2 linked regions of the Arabidopsis thaliana genome follow. The protein of the gene in region 2 interacts with the protein of the main gene of each other region in a pairwise test. Each region holds a gene or a part of one and is shown on either strand. Other genes may lie near its edges.

Region 1 (10,110 bases), on a different chromosome or scaffold from region 2:
ATCAAAGACAGCTAAAAACCACAACGAATGGAAGGGACTCTATGGTAGATTGGACTGGCAAGGAAACTTACCCATTTCCATCACCGATCCTCAGCCCATGGGTAAGGTGGGAATGTGCTTCCATCCTGAACAGGACAGAATAATCACTGTCCGTGAATGCGCCCGATCTCAGGTAAAAAAAGTTCTTATGTTCCTTCTTCGTCAGCCCTCTAGCATTACTAATAGAGTACATATTTCTTTTTGTTTTGGACATTAAGTAATGTTAGGTTATGGATACAACAGTTTTAAGTGAAAGTGTTGTTTTATGAAAATGTAGGGGTTTCCGGATAGCTACGAGTTTTCAGGGACGACAAAACACAAACATAGGCAAATTGGAAATGCAGTCCCTCCACCATTGGCCTTCGCTCTCGGTCGGAAGCTCAAAGAAGCCCTATATCTCAAGAGTTCTCTTCAACACCAATCATAATTGGAAATGCAGTCCCTCCATCATTTCATTTTTTTTAGTATAATCTTTTTCTTAAAACTCAAAGTCTATGAAGCAAGAAATGATGTCTATGAAGTATGAGAAATTTTACTAGAAAATAAAGTTGTGTAGAAATTGGTATAAAGATGTAAAGTCTAACTGGTTATAAAACCTCTTTCAGATCTATTTGGACGTCGTAAATCAACACGACAACATGTATTATCAACAATTGGCAAGTCCCTCGTTGTTCTTGGTTTTAGGAAGCCCAGACAGAACTTACTGGAATTTGTACTTGGGCGATTATGTGAACTGAAGAGTCATTTAAAACTGAAACACATCTAAAAAGACTAATCTTATACAAAGACTCTTCTTAACTCGACTTGCTTTCGTTTAGCTTTGGAATTTTCTTGTACTCGTACGTGTTTATGTCCACCTTCTCTTGCATAGCCTGCGTTAAACAAAACCCAGTCAAGATTTTAGTGTTTCATCAAAGCTTTTATGCAGTCTAATTGAGCGTATATCCTTTGTTACCTTGAGCTCATCTTCAATGGATGTGTTTTTAGGTTTATAGGCATCGACAGGTCCTGTTCTCGAAAGTGCCTTTCTTGTTTCTATAATCTCCCATTCTTGGTCATCTTTTACCTTTGCAATATCCTTACTGAACTAACCAAATAAACCATATGTGGTGAATTCTAAACAGAATCATTGACATTTCCCCAGACATTTATAGATTCAGAGGTTTTCCAATCAAGAAAGAACTGACCTGCCTTGAAGGAGTTGGCCGAGTCCGAGGGCTCCAAATACAGTGAGAGATATCATCGGAAGTCCATATCTTACAAACGGGTGTCTCCTTCCCCACCTTTTAAACGATGCTGATGACTGCTTAAGAGTACCAGTAGGGGTAGTACCAGAACCGGAAGGAGAAGACTTTTGAGTTTTCTGACCGGTTTCGATTGTTGTCATCTTTGTATTAACTCTCAAAGCATACAACTGCAAGGAAAAAGCAAGAGTGAGAACCTACTACATTGTTATCATTTTTCTTAATCCTGAAAACAAACACAAGAGTAGCTACTACAATAAGCATTGAGGAATCCATTTTCTACTCTCTAATAACATTTTCTTCTGAAATTAGTCACAAAACATAGTGTGCAAATATGGTAATCTGTGAATTTCAGATCGACTCAATCAATTTGATAATAGAGCAGAGTTAAAGATCAATACTAGCTCTGTTTCACGTGACTGGATTTGTTTCGTCGTATCTTCTACAAACAACAGATTCGTATGACCTAAATAACGTTTCCTAAACCGTAGAAATTCTCAATCTAAACCCAGAAATCAGTTCCATTCTAGGCACAACACACCGATTCGTTGTTTGACATAAATAAAAACTAACCTGGAGCTGCGTGATGGCCGGAATCTGAAGTAGCTCACTAGGTCGACGCAGGACGAGATTAGATAGAGACGGCGATGGAGACGCCGAGAAGCGAGAAGAGTGATGACGAACGTTGAGCTTCTCGGTGTATACGGCGTCGTTCGTTCTTTTAGGAAATAATCAAACAAATTAATAAATTCCCCTATTATTAGTTTCAATAATGGGCCCAGCCCAGTAACTCATATTTTGGGTTACGGTGTAAAAGAAACGACGACGTTTTTTCCTTTGTTGTGGATCTTTGTTCTGTCAGAGATGAACAATTTGTTGGTCTTTGGTGGTAAGAATAAGATAAAACAACTTTTTGGTTTCTGGGATTGTACGTTCGAACATCTACGATCAACAGACCACATTTGATAAGTATCGCATTACATACACTACAATTACCAAGCCGATGGCTCGGTACTTTGGTTGTGTTAGAATAACAGAGAAAGTAGCAAAATGAAGAGTAGATGGATTTTAACCAAATAACGAGTGATTGATACAATGAAGGGTTACATTATACTACTTCAAGAGCTGCTTTACATGAACTGTTTCAAGAACTCCGTAGCAACGAGTCTTCCTCTTGTATTCACTGACTCCTTCAAGTCCCTTATTTCTTTCTCTATATCCTGCAATTTCCATGGTTAAAAAATAGTCACACTTCAAGTTTCAAATCTATTTTAAGCGGAGATTAGCATGTTGGAGGACATAATCAGAGTAACTAATCTCTGTTGACTCTTGTAGAAACAATTCAAATTCAAAGACGGATATAATGACCTTTGTTAAGGCAACTATTCAGAATACTACTTCTCAAGTTATTTCCGTGAGAAACACAACGACGTAAGGATGCATCACTAACATTAGGTTTGATGCAACCAAGACATATATTGATTGTTAGGATGCTACTAATGGGAGCAACCAAGGTCATAGAATAAAAAGATTAGGTTTCGAGAGAGACTTGCCTCCATAAACTGAATAATGAAATCAATTAGCTTCTGTTTCTGCATCTCTTCGCAGTGGTAGTTTGTTATAAGAAAGCTTATGTCATAGCCCTGTTCAAAACACCAACAAAGAAACCAATTGAAGGGAATAAGGGAATGGATCGTTCACACAATGCAGGGGAATAAACAGTAAACCATCTAAAGCCAAGGCAATGCATTTCCGCACAGTGAGATGATTCATGATTCATGATTCATAGAAGGGAAAAAGAAAGGAAAGGTGTGGTACATACAGACTATCTATCATCCTAAACCTAAAAAATGCCTGCACAGAAAGCTAAAATTAAGGAGAATTTGTGAATACTGTCTGCGTTATGTTTAATCAATTCGTGATGCATTTACCATTAAAAAAAAATAGAAGTTCGACAAAAGAGGGAATGCATTGCAACTTCTAGATAAAACCTAGTAGCACTCACAAGTACCTAAGTGTTGAATCAATAAGAAGGTCTACCTGCACTGGCTTCCTCCTCAGTACTTGAAAAGCTTCTGCCCTCATGGACAAGAATCTGAGAAATTTTTTGGTTAGTATGTTTTCAAGTTCATCCGCTTGCTTGACCTGCAAATTAAAGATAACAAATATTTGTAACAGCAGAACAAGACAGATGTCTAGACTAAGTCACGACTCGTCAAGACGTTATCTCAGGAGAAAGAAACAAAGGAAACGGTGAGAAACAGGAAAGTAAAACAACACAAAGCCTTTGTTGAACAGTGTACCACTGGGGCTCTTCCTGGAAGTATTTGAAGGAAAAGCTAGGGTAAGATGAACATTTACCTTGAGGCTTATCCGGAGTGAATTTATAGATGTTTCTATTAAACACTTTTCAGCCTCATTTCGGCATATTAAAACCTGCAAGTTGCAAAACTTAGCAGTCAACTACAAAACCTAGGTAAGAAGACAATGCAATATCAACGCTAAACTGGGAGGGAAACAAGTAAACTTCTTACAGGATTTAGCAAAAGTTCTGGGCTCGTCCTACAAAATTTAGCAAACACATGGTGATAATAAGATTCTATGCTTGAAATAAAAATGGAAGAAGAGCACCCCATTCTCACATGCATCTTCTTGTGAGAAGCTTACATACTTTAATTCAACCTCTGGTTTATTATGCCTTTCAACTTCTTGACAAGGAAAATTCTGCAAGTAGAGAAGTATAGAAGCTTTCAGGAATATAAACCATGTAAAGCTGAATGTTTTCAAAGACTCCACATGGCCCCTTTCACCTACTTTAACGAAATCGGTAGGTTCTGACACCAAATATTGCGAGAAAAACGTCAAAAAGTAAGTGAATGATGGTACAACATGTCTAATCAAAAAGTAAACAACTAATACAAGAGAATAACAGACCAAAGGTGGATGAATGAGATAGAACGCCAACATGAAGCTTTAACTGCCTTAAACAAACTTAACCATAAAGATGGAAACTTTGAGACCTATGCCATGATATCATGAACCAAAAATAATTTGTACCTGTAAGCACATGGCAGCCTCGAGTGTATTTTTTATGCATGCTAGATACAGCCGTAATGAGTTTGCCTGGAACATCAAAGACCCATCGGAAGCAAATTTTAAACAATTTCTGCAGTAAATCAGTATGCGATAGACATTGTTTAAAAGAATTGTTTCTAAACAGGACATGTTTGAATGAAAAAGAGTCTTTGTCAAGTATGAGAAGAATCAAAATTAGAATTACAGTCAAGGTTCTTACCATGTCCTAGAAATGATGTTATTCTACTCGAGACTTGCACCAGACTTAGGATTTTATCTTTCTTCTCGATGAATCTTTATGAGCTGAAAAAATAATCCAAACATAAACAAGAAAGCATCTTTAGTTTCATAGAATTTAGGTTACCAACTTTTTTATACTAAACGTCAATAAGAAAGCAACTTTAGGATCAAAATGTCTACAAGAAAACAAAACACTCTCAAATGTTTAAGATAAGAAGAGAACAAAATAACAATCAAGTAACAGCAAGATCCCGGAGACTAGAGTTTCTATGTAATCAACTCGAAGCAACAACAAGATCATGATTATTGAGAGACCCACTTAGAGAAATAAGCCAATCTACTGAAAGTCTGAAACTTTTGGAAAATGTGAGAAAGGGAAATCAAATTAGATCCCTAGGAATCAATCAGACAAATCAAAAGCCCTAAAACCTTGGTCGTGAACAAATTGCATACCTTGGACGACTTGGAGACTCGTGAGAGGAGAGATCGTAAGGAGATTTAGAGATCAACGATCGGAAAATTGAATCACGATCAAATTGACCGGATAAGTGAAACGAAATGCGTCAAAACCGAACCAAACCAGACACTCCGACCGGATCTGGTACATTCTAAAATGGAATGTTCATTGACCCACAAATACCAGCAAGATTCTGCGGATTGAACCGGTGAACCGGGTTGCTCTACTTCTAAGTTCTAATCTACAACTACAAGCGGTACTTGCGCTTTAACACATCTGTTTATGTTACTGTATTCATTTATAGCAAAGACTGGCTCTGCTTCTTGTAGAATGTTCTGTATCCGATGAGTAGTATATATCATATTTGCATGCGTAGATGTTGCAGCTGGGAGAGTTAACGCAGTCGATTTCTTGCTCAGAGGCAAGACTTCCTTCAGAGTACTTTTCTCTTGGCAAGAGCATTCCAAGATTATAAGAGACTCAAACTCAATTCCAATTGAACTCGTTGAGTCCTTAACTACATTCAAGTGATGAATTTGTTCAAGATGAGGTACTTAATGTTGAAGATACTTTGGGTTGCTATGTAAATTTTTCCACTGTTTTGGTTCCTCTGAAAGTTTACTTAGCTGTGCGTTGTGTTATTTTAGGTGCCGCCCTTCTGGGAAAACGATCTTCAGAGTATTATTCAGATGGGTTTCGAGAGATAGTCAGCAACAGAGCAACAACTGTATGCAAAACGAAACAAAAAGCAACAACATATGTCTTGTTTTAAGATGTCTAATATCTACTATATGAGTATGACATTCCCATTTGGTTGTATATTGCATAGGTTCGGAACTTGTGAAAATTGAGCCAAACAAATGGTGAACGAAGAACGGTACGGAGTTATTAATAGTCTCTGGAAGTAATGTTTTACTTCACATCGTTTCTTCTTGTATCTTTTGTTTTATTCATAAGAAAAAGTCTGCGTCTGTGAAAAGAATGGTAGATGAAGAACTTGTGGACAGATTTGTATTAGTAGAGAAGAGGTAGATTCAAAAAAAATTATATATGGATCTTATAGAAGTCTTTGTGTGATGTTTTTGGTATATTCAGGTCTCACTTGTTGGTCTAGTGTGTGACAAAGATGTTTCAAAAGTCACAAAAGTTAGATTTACTCTTTGATGATGGAACAGGACGAATTGATTGTAAAAAATGGTAATTAACACACATAGACTATACCCTTTTGAGATATGGAAGAGTTGTTTTTAGGTACAATGGTAATTTGCTATTTAGTGTAATCACCCACTTAGTGACACATCCTTCATGATAGCAATGCTTACAATAAGGCATCTGGCAACAATTCTCAGATCTCGACATATTCTCCAAACAGATTGCACAAGTCTCCGATTCTTCTTCTTCTTGGTCCAAATCTGTCGCCGACGGAGAAGAAATACAAGGCACAACACTGTATAACTTGTGTGTCAATCTGACAGAGACTATCATGAATAAAGGTTGTTGACGTTGTTGTGGCAAGTAAAAACTTTGACTTCTTTGCAGTTGGGCTTCGACAATCTTAGAACATATTTGTCCGGACAGGTCACGATCGTGGAGTTGGCGTTGAAGACGTTGATAGACGTAGTTCCGTTAGTGTAATTTGCTATTTAGTGTAATACCCAAAAATATGAATATTGTTACTAGAATATAGAGAGTGCGAGATAAAGGAAGGAGCACGCTCATGAAAATGAAAAGTAGAATTGTTTGGGAATTAGGATTGCAGTCTAAGCTAAGAGATCTGCATGAAGGTTGGTTTAATCTTCTACGAATCCAGGAGGTTTGCGTCATTTGTACATAATGAGTTGCAAGTTATGAGTGAAATTGGACTTATATCACAGAATCAGACACCCATTTTATACACATTAAACACACAAAATAGATATTAGAATTATATGTTGCACCTATCATAACCCGAAAACCAAGAAGGCTCAGCAAGATTTGAAAACTCAGTTTCTTTTTTGTAAAGCGGCTCAAACTCATCTCTCCATTGCTGCTCACTACTTGCATTTACTGATGGTTCCACGGCTTGATCACATTTGGTAGAGCATTCATTGTGAATATGAGATTGTGGGACGAGTTGGTTAAGTGTGTTGATTTCGTTTTCATGTTTCTTCTTCAGCTTGTCAATCTGTCTATATGCTTCTGCAGCTTCATACTCTGCATCCATCGCACGTTTCTGTTGACACAAGCCACATAGATTTTATGTAAGAACATGCATGCATAATAATAAAAGCAACAGACTTATTCAAGGATGTGACCTGACATGTTTAGAAAATGTAATAACGTACCTGTGCAACTGTTAATCCCTCTTCGGCTTCTTTAAGCCGAACAAGTAACTCTCCAGCTGCTTGTATGGCTTCAGCTGTATCTCTTAGTTGTGTTTGGAGACTTTTGTTCTCATCCCTCAGGTATTGTCTCTCCTTCTCTTTTTCTACCTTTAAGGCTGAAATTTCTGCTGCAAGTGCATTTATGAATCTGGACTCTGCTCCTCTGACTCCAGCTCTTGCAGCTGCCTTTTTGACATCATCTATTCCGTCTTGAATCCTTCTATGTCTTGCAAGCAATTGCATATGCTTCTCTTCCAGGTCTGCATATTGTTCAAGCATCCGTGCATGCCCTTCCATGGCCATCTGCATTGCTTCTTTCAACTCCTCCCCGCATCTTTTCTCAATTTCAAGTTCATGTTTCTGCTTATTAATCAGCGCCTTACTGGCTTCAAGCTCAGTTCTTAATTCCTCGGAGAGAGAAATCCATTTGGTCTCTGCCTCTGTCCAACAAAGTCTTTCCTGTTCTAATGTCTTCTCAAGACTCTCGTCCTGTGACTCAGGAATAGCGTTAACTGGGGGAGCTTGGTATGAAAGCTTAAGCAGGGTACACGTTTTCAGAGCTGATTTAAGAGAAGGGTCAATGTAACATTGCAGCTGCAACTTCAAATCCTGAATCTCTTCCAATAACACTTCCCGTTCTCCCATGTCACCATAAAAGTTCTTGAAATTCTCGACCTCTTCTTGCGTTCTTTCCAACTCAATCTTCGTCTTAAGCACTTCAGGGTGATTCTGATACATGTCCTTTAGAAGCTGCAACATTACATGTCAGTAAAAGGGTAATGCAATCAAATACCCTTTTACAAAACGAGAAGCCACAATTACCTTATGTTCATGGAGAAGAGAAGCAAATTCTTCATCAAGGAAATCCTCCTTAGATAATACGCCATCCATAAGGCTTTCAAGGCGAATAATTTTGTCCTCCCTTGTTTGTCCTATGATGGCATTGCACTCTCTCTCATGTTTGTATTGTTGTACCTATTACACGGTTTGGACCAATTTATGTTTGAGGATACAGTTACTAAGGGAGATTAAAAACAGAAAAAGACGCAAGTATCATACCAGTCGGTTAAGTTGGGTTATCTCAGAGGCTTGTTTAGTGCAGAACTCTTCCAGAGCCATTTCCCTCCTGATAGAACCTGCTAGAACCTTTTCTACTGCCTGTAAAGTGTAAAACTCGATCAGTTGGAGGAACCAATTATAGAAATGTGGAAACAAAATAAGACTGTGAATAACTATCTAAATCTATGTTAGAAAAAAGTCACAGTTCTTACTTTGGGAACTTGATTCTTGGATTTTTCTGCCACTTCCGAGTTGTCAACAGGTACTAACTGAAGATTTGGCATGTCACCCATTTGCTGGGCATCAAATTGTTCTCTGCATTTGCATTTACAGCACAGAAACTCTTTTGTATTCTCCTCTGATATTGCATCAGCTCCGGGAATGGTCTGCACACCTGCATCAGCCTTACTTATAGAGGTCGAAGGCTCACTATCTGGAGCTTTGAAGGAAAACCTGTACGTCGATCGTCTTTGAGCTGTACTCTGGCAATACGACTCAAGAAGTTTAATTCCTTTGTGGAGGCTAGATGCCAACCGCTCAGTCCGTACAGGAAAAACTTTGCTCTTCTGCGTAGACAAAGCACTAGAACAGTTATTCATCTTTTTGGATGTAGCCGGAGATGGGTCCGCAGCTTCTGTAACTAAATTTTCTCCTTCACTATCCTTCTGAGATGCTGTTGACAATTCTGATGTCTTCAAGCTTTTCCTGCTATTTCTAATCGTAGGAGAGACGCTCAGTGTGGGAGATTTTAATACAGGAGTCGCACCAACTGGATCTATACAAAGACTGGGAGATGCAGAATTTACTAAGTGCTCTGGATCATCTACTCCATCAGCTATCAATACATTTGCTGAAGTAACGTCTTGCGGAACTAAGTCAGGGCATGATGACACATCCTCTGACTTGTTCAGTGAAGAACAAAGAGCATCCTTGACTGAAAGAGGCTGGAAACTGGACTCGTGATCTAAAGTTTGCGAGTGTGTCTTGATCTGATTTTCTCTGATGCCAGTCTCTGTCTCAGTTCTCATATTATCCACGGTTTCTGGTTCATGGTTCTCAGTATGGCAACAAGCATCCTCCATGGCAACATCTGAGTCCTCAGGAAGCCGCTTTTCTATAGATTGGCCATCAGATGAATGTATACTCTTTACTCTGTTCATATCGTGATTGATCCCCTCAGAAGCTAAAGATGATTGCAAACCCACTTGAACACAAAGCCTTTCAACAGCAGCCTCATCAATTTCCATCTCAATATCACCATCATTATCTTCATGAGGTAAGGACCTTGGATGACCCAGACCGAAGCTTCTTAATAAATTCAAACTTCTACGTGCATTCCATGCAGTGGAATAAGCAACATTTGGATTGGTTGGATTATTTCCATCATTCTTCATCCTTTGTAGTTCATCCTGCACAATTTATCCATTAAAAGCCATATTCATATTTATATTTCTATCTTATAAAATATGTAAAAGAATCCGTACCCTCAGCTGGTGTATCACTCCACGCAAGAAATTTACATCATCCTGCATCACTTCATTGACAACAGCCTTATTCTGTATTGCCTTTGCACGCTGAGCAAATCTCAAGGTGCTGAAGGTTTCACTCCTGCAACTGCAGTTTTCGTATATAC
Region 2 (10,915 bases):
ACATGTAAGCCAAGACAATATTCAATTTTGGGGTTAACTGAAGTGGGAAAGCTGCAAAACGTGAAGTGGTCCTCTTGCTTTATTCTACGTATGTAGATTCCTTTTGTATGAATTTTCTCATTTGTTTTTCACTTCTATGGCATTCTCATCAACCCAACCATGCATATATTTCCTAAATGAAACGTCTAAGAAGCTATCAAAATCCATATTTTTTTGGCTCCTTTATATTCAATCTCCAAAATAAGAAGAAACTTCTACTATATAATATACTACAGAATTTGGACACCTTTTGACATTTATAAGTTTGACCATTTATCTAAAATTTGGTATGTTCTTATGATTAGTGTTTGAAAATAAGAAAATATATATCCATGTGATGTGGTCATTCATGTATACCTTCCATAGTGAAATCATGATGTTTGTTGACAGTAACATATTGTTAGTGGTCTATGAGCTAGTGCAACCTGCCATGACTCACTTTCCCTTGCAAAATCTGACATTCTTCCACAAAACATAAAAGTCCATTAAAATTCTACTTTTGGATGAATCTGACCTTAAGGAATTTTCAGTTTCAGTTTCTTCTTTTTTTTTTCATAGAAAACCAAAAGTGCTGTAGAGTCGCAGAGATAGTGACATCCACTTGAATATTCTTCTGTTTTTTCTTACATTCATTAATTAAATTCAATACTCAAATTATATATATATAGTCCTTTTTAGATATAAAACATCATTATTAACATCTAATTAAGATTGACAAAAATGAAGTTCGTTATATCAAATCGATTGCCCATTCCTCCACTTGCTTTTCTTCATTTAAATTCAGAGATACTAGTAAAATAAACCATCAACCTCCATGCAAAACCATATTATATAACAAAGTTGCGAGCTTAACTTTTTTTTTTTTTCTTTTTATCACATTTCTTTACACTCTAAAAGCAAATTCTAAAACTTTTCTTTTCTTTTCTCTTCTTCTATCTATAGCTAAGAAACTAGTGGATCAAGTATTCAAGTTCCATATATACCGTCATCCAATTCTTTACAAAGAGCTAGATACACACAAACTTTAACAGTTATACTTATGAAATGAACTCATGAATTGATTATCATCAATTCTAAACTTTGTATTTATTGTTTCAACTTCAAACCACATGAAGTCATGGAGATTCATCATCAACTCTTAGTCTCTCTCCTCTTCCTCCTCCTTCCCCTATGCTCCTCCCAAGAAAACACCAGAAGCTTGGCCATTGATGTCAATGGTCCAGTCGAAACTTCTCCTATCTCCGAGGTTCGTATGCTCTTCTTTCTCTCTCGCTTATCCTAATTAAAATCTAATAATCTCAAACTCTTCATAATCTCATTGATATAGCTGATAAATCTTTACAATGAAGCTCCAGGCATTTCCTTTGTTTCTGATCTTATAACCTATTGAGTTTATTTATCATCGCATGATTATAATGTATGTAAGTCATGTACATATTATTATTCCATGATGCTTAAAGGTTATAGTTTTTTTTTCCTACTCTCTGTATAAAATGCCTGCGTGTTAATAACTTTAATCAAAAACTCTGAATATATATTGGTATGAAGCTCTTATTTTTATTTTTCTTGAACAGAAACTAAATCCAAAGCTTGTGTACGAAATCAAAGTGCATGGCTTTATGCTTTGGGCAGCGATGGGTGTTTTGATGCCAATTGGTATAATCTCCATCAGATTAATGTCTATCAAAGACCAACCTATAATCACTCTTCGACGACTCTTCTTTCTTCATGTCACTTCTCAGGCATGTTTCATTTTTCTTGGCTCTCTTATTTAAATTATATATATCAAATATATATTACAATTCAACAAACTAAATCATAAGTATGTTGAAAGTATTGTATAAGTTGAAAATGAAATTTAATGGTCGGTGCGAGAAGATAGGTGGATGGAGAGTAAAGCAAAGATGCTTCTCTCTTCATCTAAACAATAAAGATTGCATCCAATTAACAACTTTTTCGTGATTTTTAATTAGTACTCCATTAGTAATTAGTAGGGCCTTTTAGGTTATTCTAGATTGTTAATCACATTGATAATCATGGAAACTTGAAGGCCAAGCTAAAGCATCTATCTTCTTCCTCTTTATTTTTAGCTTTAACGACTTTCTGACTTTCTCTTTCTCTCATTCTGATACTTAACTAAGAAACCTCACCTACTAGCTAGTCAATTTTGTTACAAAACAATATTTGATAATTAAACAGCAGCAAGTACTTTTAACTATTGTTATCTATCAACAAGCGGCTCATAGTTTACTTGGAATATTAAGTGAGCAATTAACAATGTGATTAATTTATGAAGCAGATGGTTGCAGTGATACTTGTGACAATAGGGGCAGTAATGTCAGTAATAAACTTCAACAATTCCTTCAGTAATCATCACCAACAGCTTGGAATTGGACTTTACGTCATTGTATGGTTCCAAGCTCTTCTTGGCTTCCTCCGACCTCCAAGGTACTTCTGTTTCTTTTCTCTTCAATAAAATAAGCTGTTACACCGATAATTCTTTGTGACAAAATTAAGCTAGCTTAAGATTAATAACACTCATTATTTTGTTCTTGAATATTTCTAAGAAAAATCTTGAATGCAAATTAGTTAGACTTAATCAAATGTTATGATGACGAGAACTACGAAATGCGTCTAGTACTTTATATTCAATCTTTAATTGATTTACTCGCATTGCAGAGAAGAAAAAGCTAGAAGGAAGTGGTTTGTAGGACATTGGATATTAGGAACATCAATTGCTATTCTTGGGATAATAAACATATACACAGGTTTACACGCTTACGCCAAAAAGACATCAAAAAGTGCTAATCTTTGGACCATACTCTTCACTGCACAACTCTCTTGTATTGCCTTGGTCTATCTTTTTCAAGATAAATGGTCTTATATCCAAAGCCAAGCTACCTTTAACAGAAATCAATCCGTTGATCATAACAGCAACATCTCAACCGCAGAGACTGGCCATGGATACGAGGTCGAAGAGAGTAAACCGGAGTTAGAGAAATGCTAAAAGCGCCAAGCTAAGAAGCTATTAGTAATTTGGTCTTACTTTGAGAGATTGTTTTCTAGGAGACAAAAAGAGTTTCAAAGGTATTTGAATTGATTTGTAGTGGTAATGATTTGACTAACTTTCGAGTTTCTTTCTTCTTTTGTTATTTTCAAGTGTAACATGCTCATAGTCATAGGCAGTGATTAAGTCGTAACCTAAATTTTAGCTACATGTGTATCAAGAATGAGAAGAAATGTCCCAAATTTTCCGAGGAATTGACGAAGGAACACTACCTATTTTCATGCTGTCTCTGACGTATGAGTGTCTTGAGGATTAGGTTTGGCCGTTTGAGCATTCAGCATTCTAATCAAGTTAAAGTAATAGATAAAAAAACAAAAAACAAATCAAACCATATGTTACACATTAACAATAATGATATTTTAAACCAACCGCGTAGAAATTAATTTAGGATAAGATAATATACAAAGATATAAACTTCCATATATTAGTATTGAAAAAACTTCCACACATAATAAGATCTCTAGATCTCTAGACCAAAACTGACTCCAACGTAAAATGGAAACTTATCTCTTTCCTCATTAATAAAGATTCCAACATTCATTTTACCTATTAAGACAGAAAGAAAATATCTCTAATTTAAGAAACAAATCTACATGTATTTTCTTAAACCAGAGCCAATAGACATATATATCACACAAACACATCATATATATGCCGATATATAAAAACCAAAGGCACACAAGAAAATAAAATTAAATCACACAATTCTTCTTCTTCACCAAACCACAAACGTTGACAACTTGTGTGAGTTTTTGCAATGATGAGAGGTGCTGCTCCCACCGGAGTAGTATCGGTCATGGTTTTAATGATACTTGTGTTGTTAAAACAAATAGAGAGTGCTAGTGCGAATGGTTCATCATTAGGGCTACCACCTAGAAAGTTTTGTAATATTTATCAAGGAAGTTGGGTCTATGACAAATCTTACCCTCTCTATGATTCCAAGAATTGCCCTTTCATCGAGAGACAGTTTAACTGCAAGTCCAATGGTCGCCCTGACAGCGAGTACCTCAAGTATCGATGGCAACCTTCCGGTTGCAATCTCCCCAGGTGATTCCATCTTTTCTTTATGGTATTTATAACGTTTTTCGATATGTAGATCTAGTGCGTTTTAACTTTTAAGGCATGTAACTAGTCATAGGTGAATTGCTATGAGTACCACTATACTTCAGGACGACTTGGGCATCAACTAGCATTGTATCGGAAAATTTCATTTTCAAAAACGTCTTTAGTATTTCTTGAGGGGGATTAATAGGTTTTTAATTAGGATTTATTATTGGATTCAAATCCCCTTTTATGTCGCATATAAGTTCATATGTAACTATGTAAGAATGTTATAGAATTTAGTAACCGAAGCAGCTGGTACATAAATCCATAACTATCATTTATTGGAATAAAACTGTTACAAAGACAATAAGTCACAAAATGTTACAAATTAACGGAAGTACCCAACCATTTTGTGGTAAATTATTAAACGTGAATATTTTCTCCTATGAATGATATAGAAGTGTTAAATTGATTAATGATGAATGGTGCAGATTCAACGGCTTAGATTTTCTGGGAAGGATAATGAAAGGGAAGAAACTGATGTTCGTAGGAGATTCACTGAGTCTAAACCAATGGCAATCTCTCACGTGTTTGCTCCACAACGCCGCACCAAAAGCCAATTCCACATCCACACGTTCCCCTTCTGGCCTCTCCGTCTTCTCATTCCCCGTAACGTTTTCTAACTTTATCAAACTCGTTCCGGTATTGATCCGGTTTAATAATTCTGGTTCGGTTCGTATTTAAATGCATGCAATGCAGGCTTACAATTCTTCGATTATGTTTTCAAGAAACGCGTTTCTTGTGGATATAGTCGGAGCCCCACCGAAGCGAGTGATGAAGCTTGACTCAATCTCGAGTGGTTCGTTGTGGAAAACCGCAGACGTTTTGGTCTTCAACTCTTGGCATTGGTGGCTTCACACAGACCGAAAACAACCGTAAAATCATCTTTATGTCGTCAAACATATTTTGCTATGGACTATGGACTTATTAGTATCTAACTAATGTAATCATTTGGGGTTGCAGATGGGACGCAATTATGTCCGGGAATGTAACGGTTAAAGACATGGACCGGTTAGTGGCATATGAGAAAGCAATGATGACTTGGGCTAAGTGGATTGATCAAAATATTGATCCTTCCAAAACCAAAGTCTTCTTCCAAGGTATTTCTCCGGACCATGGCCGGTAAGTTCTACCTCTATATAACTTCTTTTTTATTCGATACATACATTAAATCAACGATAAAAACTTAACACGATTGATATATGTTGGATTAGTCTATAAGTTTTCGTTAGAACCAAATAATTTCATGTTGATATTGTTAACAATAATGGTACATAATGTTACAGGGCAAGGGAATGGTCGAAACAAGGTGGCAAAGGCAGTTGCATAGGAGAAACAAAGCCGATTATGGGATCGAGTTACCTGGCTGGGCCGCACGCAGCCGAGATGGTGGTGGCGAAAGTGATAAAGACGATGAAGAATCAGGCGCGGTTAATGGATGTGACATTGATGTCTCAGCTAAGGAAAGATGGACATCCTTCAGTATACGGTTTTGGCGGTCACAGAATGGCGGATTGTAGCCATTGGTGTCTCTCTGGAGTCCCGGATAGCTGGAACCAGCTCTTGTATTCTGAGCTGTTTCATTCTTAAAATTTTGATGGTTTTGACACAAAACTAAATTCATTATATGATTTATACATTTATTTATGACCTAACCATGTTTGTGTTGTTTTACACATTTATTTTATGTCATAAACATGTTTATTTAGAATTTCAAATTCATTTGTCAACCAAAATGTTTAAATGAGAACAAGATTCTTTGACTGGTCGAACAATTTATAAGAGAAGAATTTGCAAGAATATAACCTTATGATCTCGTTATAATTGAATGGACTAAATATGTGTCCTGAATCTCTAAGTGAGAGATTAGAGGAAGACCAAAACTAGAAGTAAACCTTATTCCACGAGAGGGGATAACTAGCGTAGCTTATATAATAACTTTGTACAATGATTTGGGGTTAAGTTATTTTTGGATTATGCTAAATCAAAATCTAATATAGTGGTGCAAGCCCCTTGACTTGGGTCAATGATTCAAAAGCTTATACAAAAAAAAAAACGAAAAAACTAATAGTAAAACATTACTTTAGAAAAAAGTTACTAATCAATATTTTTTTAAAAATTTCAGATTACTTTATAAGTTACTCTATACTCATAGACTCATAGTGAGATATAGTTCTATTTTTACATGGATGAATTGGATCGAATCCATTTATCTACATTAATGTATTTAACTAATGCAGAACTTAAGCCTTTTATCGGAAAAAACAAAAACAAAACTAATGCAGATTACAGAACTATAGATTTAAAAATAAAAATAATTCGATTTTTTCCTTATTATTATGCTGGTTTGCCCAAAAATAAAGGTCCAAGTAAAACTGAAATTGATCTGGTCATAAAAATTGGGGCTTTAGTAAAAAAAAAAAAAAAAAAAAAAACATCTGTCTCTTTCACTTCACGTTTGCGACTGTGTCGTCGTCCACCTCCGGATCTCATCGGCGTTTCATCATAATTATCTGTCCATCTATTCACCGTACGACTCCGTTTTAGGAATCTGTGGATGTCAATTTGAGAGAAAAGACTGTCTTCATTACAACACATTTGGGACAACAAGGATCACTCATGGCAGTGGTGGATGTTCATCGTTTCGCTGAGTCAATCACTTGCCATGCTTGGAGTCCTGATCTCTCCAGTATGTTTCTAACACCTCTCTGATTTTGTGATTCTCTTCTTTCTCTCTTCCGTCGTTTTTTCCGTTTTAGAATTATAAATGAGGAGGATCTATCTATAGTTAGTTTGGCTGGGAAGATAGATAGATGATACAACTAAATTGACTTGTGTTATTCTTATACATCTTGGTAATCAAATTTCTTCGAGTCAATGTTTTATATGTCTGTTTGTCGGTGTCTCTTGTTAGGAACACTTGGTATCTAGTATTGTACATTAGTAGATGCGCTTTTCTAAACAGATGAACCAAATCTATTGTTACAAATGATTTAACGTCTGTACTAAAGCCTGTAACCATTTATGTGCTTTGACATTTGTTTCGTTTTTCTTGGTAGTGGTTGCTCTCTGTCCTAACAACACTGAAGTTCATATCTATAAATCATTGTCTCAAGACCACTGGGAGAGGTTACATGTCCTCCAAAAGGTGAAACCTTTCTCTCTCCCTCTCTTTCTGTAACTTTTGAACTTGCATTCCTTTTGCTTTCTCTTCTTGGGAATTCCTTACTTTCGTATATTTATGTATTCTCATTTCACTGATCACTTGTCGCTGATAAGTGTTGTATAGACAGCTTGAATCTCCCTTACAACAACTTCATGATTATTGTTCGTCTTGTTGCAGCATGACCAAATTGTTTCTGGAATAGATTGGAGCTCAAAGTCCAACAAAATCGTCACTGTTTCTCATGACAGGAACTCGTAAGTTGCTACCTTTGATATACTTTGAGAAACTCCAAACCTGTTAATCTTAGTCCTTCACTTTTTTTCGTTCGTTGAACTGAGTTTAGAATGCTTCTTGAAGGTACGTCTGGAGCCTGGAAGGAGCTGAATGGGTACCAACTCTCGTTATTCTTAGACTAAATCGTGCTGCACTTTGTGTCCAATGGAGCCCCAAAGGTAAATGTTTAATTTTTCTGGTTCTTAAGCTTAATTTCCGTAATATGTAGTGTAATTTTCCTATAATTTCTACAGCTTCTAATCTATGTTCTCATCTTTTTGCTCAATACCCATAGAGAACAAGTTTGCTGTTGGAAGTGGTGCTAAAACTGTTTGTATTTGCTATTATGAGCAAGAGAATAACTGGTATTTTCTTCTTCTGCTCCTAATTCTCATTATTAGTCCTTGATTTTTTCTTTGGCAAGTTTCCTGACTTCTTTGCTACGAATGGTGTTGTTGGTCTATGTAATGATATTATTTTGTCTTATGTACTGGCATGATATTAGCACCAATCATATTTTTTATTATCTTGGCATGCATAACTGTGTATTGTTTAGAGATTTTAGAAAGATACTTTCATGTAAACTTTTAGTATCTGACATTGCTTGGCTTTACTGTTTTCAGGTGGGTCAGTAAGCTAATCCGGAAAAGGCACGAATCTTCAGTCACATCTGTTGCTTGGCATCCTAATAATGTACGTGCAATCAACAGAACCTCTTGTAGTTCATGTAGTTAAAATAATAAGCAGGCTCTCTGTAAAAGCATTCTCTACCAAAAATATTCTATAAGTTGGCCACCAGATTGAGTATAGAGTACATGATCCCTAAAAATAGAATATCAATCTCCACAAACTAGTTAATCTTCTAAATCATTTTTTCTCGTATGCTTTTTTATGTTGCTGTGCTCTCTGATTGTCTGTTATGCATTAGGTTCTTCTGGCAACGACATCAACAGATGGAAAATGTCGGGTATTTTCAACATTTATCAAAGGAGTTGACACAAAGTATGCTCATTACTTGAACGTCTACTTTTAAAACATTTTTTCAAACATGAGGCCGTTTCTTATTTGTCTTTCAATGGGCTGATACAGGGATTCAAAAGCAGGCTCACCAGCGGAAACGAAATTTGGGGAGGTTTGACTCGTTTGGCTGGCTTTCCTTCTTTTAGTAAATAGTATACCACTTCTGCCATATATATGTTCCCTCTACTCACTCTCTTATCTAATGTTAGGGAGCTTTTTTTCTGTTGAAACAGCAAATTCTTCAGCTTGATCTCTCATATTCTTGGGCATTTGGTGTTAAATGGTCTCCAAGTGGAAACACCTTAGCTTATGTAGGTCAGAATATCCTTAAAACTTAAGATGTTTGTCCATTGAGCTCTACTGGAATTATAAAAATGGAACTTCACCTTGGTTGCATAATTTTTACTACACTCCGTCTCACTTCCCTTGTTCATGCAATCTTGTTTATAGGTCATAGCTCCATGATTTACTTTGTTGATGATGTTGGTCCTTCTCCTTTAGCCCAAAGCGTTGCATTTCGAGATTTGCCTCTTCGTGATGTGGGTCAGCATCCACTCTTTTTTTTCTTTTGAGAAAGTGTTCTCATGTGTTATATCCTGAATTGATATATTATCGGGAACTTGCTATCTTCAGGTCCTGTTTATTTCTGAGAAAATGGTGATAGGCGTGGGATATGACAGCAACCCGATGGTATTTGCCTCAGATGATACTGGAATATGGTGTGTAACTCTTAGTTTTCTCTTTCTTAGCTATTTCCAGACAATCAAATACTTCAATTCATTAATTCTCCTTAGCTCTCAGGCCGGATAGTTATTTCTGAAATCATCCACACACCGATGATTGCCTTGTTTACAAGTTTTTGTTTATGGTCTGCAGGAGCTTTATCAGATACATCGGAGAGAAGAAAGCAGCATCTTCAAATTCCAGTTACAGTTCGCAGGTACATACCATGTTTTCTTTCTTGAATAAAATATGAGTGAACTTAGCTTATTCCTGAAGTGTTCCTCTAAGATAGTAGTAATCTTTCGGGTTAGTGTAGTTGCTCCTTTTTTCTCCTTGGGTTTACTACTTTGAACTTTCCACTTGCATTATTTGTACTGTTTTGTCTAATCCTTTTTTTCATTATGTTATCTTTTCAGTTTTCTGAAGCATTTGGAAAATTCTACGGCAGTCAATCAAAGTCCACAACAGCCAACGATGCTTCTGAATCACGTGGAGGTGTTCATGATAACTGCATAAAGTAATTATTTCTTAAGCTAACTTTTCTTTTACCAAATCATTTGCCAGAAACCTGCCTCATTAACTCTTTTACTTCGATTGTCTATTAAGAACCTGACATGGAAGGTTACCTGAAAATTGCAGTTCCATTGTGTCTCTGAGCAAAGCAGGGAGTCCTAAAGTAATGCGATTCAGCACTTCAGGTCAGTCACTAATACAAAATGGAATTAGCCGATTCAGTTCTCAAAAAACAAACCAGCAGTTTCATTTACTCGCATAACGGTTTGTTATTTATAGGATTGGATGGCAAAGTTGCCATATGGGATCTGGAGAACATGGAACAAGAACTTGGCAATCAGTTTTAATAAACACACAAATAAAACAATTCTGGCTCACAAGCAAGGTTTTACTTAAGTTTAAACTACTTTTTCAATTTCGTAATTGTTTCACTTTGTAAACTGCCACAATAAAAGGCCTTATTTTCTTGGTTTGTGTAAGGGCAGGTATTAATAAGTTTCTTGGCTTCATGATTTGATTCATTTAGTTAGCATCTTGTAATACCTTTTATATATAGTAATATCAGCTTTGTGTCGAAAGGAGTCCATATTGAACCAAACACAACAATTTCGCAAAATTTTCAAGTTCTTGAGAAGAAGCAAAAAGCTTTGGTCCTCCGAACTATGCCATATTTACCACAAAACGAGATATCGACAAACATTAATCTTCTATCAGATGACAGAAGTGTGATTCAGAAGACCAAATATTCTTTGAATGTTTCTCACTTATTGCAAAACAACTACTGTCCTCGTCCTAAGCAACTTCCAGAGTACCTAGTTTTTAAAGCATGAACTAGAGTTGTAACTCAGAAGCAGATATGCAGAGAAACACGACTTGGAACGATTGATTATATGTCTCCAAGATCCTTCCTTTTCGTCCCATAAGCAATATAGTTGACACTAATATCATCTGACAATAACCATCTTCCTGTTATTGGGTTGTACACAAATCCAGCTATCTCTTTCACCTGC

The links.
Region 1: the proteins of ARPC1A (region 2) and ARPC4 interact in a two-hybrid assay, tested with the Arabidopsis thaliana proteins (one study listed by BioGRID).

The regions. Positions count from the first base shown.
Region 1 is NC_003075.7:8,151,666-8,161,775, forward strand, and holds ARPC4 (binding protein), read right to left. Parts: upstream 5,126-10,110; 5' UTR 5,052-5,125; intron 4,703-5,051; exon of another isoform or gene 4,662-4,702; 5' UTR 4,582-4,661; coding exon 4,579-4,581; intron 4,407-4,578; coding exon 4,341-4,406; intron 4,008-4,340; coding exon 3,955-4,007; intron 3,846-3,954; coding exon 3,818-3,845; intron 3,720-3,817; coding exon 3,645-3,719; intron 3,429-3,644; coding exon 3,324-3,428; intron 2,927-3,323; coding exon 2,833-2,926; intron 2,504-2,832; coding exon 2,397-2,503; 3' UTR 2,142-2,396; downstream 1-2,141. Other genes in the region: DMT2 (DNA methyltransferase 2), read left to right, coding at 1-172, 317-466; AT4G14145 (cytochrome C oxidase assembly protein), read right to left, coding at 834-911, 995-1,121, 1,227-1,426; PAKRP1 (phragmoplast-associated kinesin-related protein 1), read right to left, coding at 6,980-7,267, 7,380-8,168, 8,241-8,393, 8,478-8,576, 8,690-9,886, 9,962-10,091.
Region 2 is NC_003071.7:13,146,618-13,157,532, forward strand, and holds ARPC1A (actin-related protein C1A), read left to right. Parts: upstream 1-6,171; 5' UTR 6,172-6,280; intron 6,281-6,555; exon of another isoform or gene 6,556-6,621; 5' UTR 6,622-6,829; coding exon 6,830-6,899; intron 6,900-7,269; coding exon 7,270-7,358; intron 7,359-7,553; coding exon 7,554-7,630; intron 7,631-7,733; coding exon 7,734-7,828; intron 7,829-7,944; coding exon 7,945-8,014; intron 8,015-8,272; coding exon 8,273-8,342; intron 8,343-8,577; coding exon 8,578-8,651; coding exon of another isoform or gene 8,652-8,670; intron 8,671-8,738; coding exon 8,739-8,781; intron 8,782-8,878; coding exon of another isoform or gene 8,879-8,902; coding exon 8,903-8,984; intron 8,985-9,119; coding exon 9,120-9,208; intron 9,209-9,302; coding exon 9,303-9,388; intron 9,389-9,545; coding exon 9,546-9,609; intron 9,610-9,808; coding exon 9,809-9,909; intron 9,910-10,031; coding exon 10,032-10,090; intron 10,091-10,184; coding exon 10,185-10,252; 3' UTR 10,253-10,415; downstream 10,416-10,915. Other genes in the region: AT2G30890 (Cytochrome b561/ferric reductase transmembrane protein family), read left to right, coding at 1,157-1,285, 1,614-1,781, 2,339-2,487, 2,719-3,046; TBL43 (TRICHOME BIREFRINGENCE-LIKE 43), read left to right, coding at 3,864-4,153, 4,642-4,819, 4,910-5,085, 5,174-5,332, 5,497-5,800; COQ3 (coenzyme Q 3), read right to left, coding at 10,792-10,911. UniProt on the Arabidopsis thaliana protein: Functions as a component of the Arp2/3 complex which is involved in regulation of actin polymerization and together with an activating nucleation-promoting factor (NPF) mediates the formation of branched actin networks.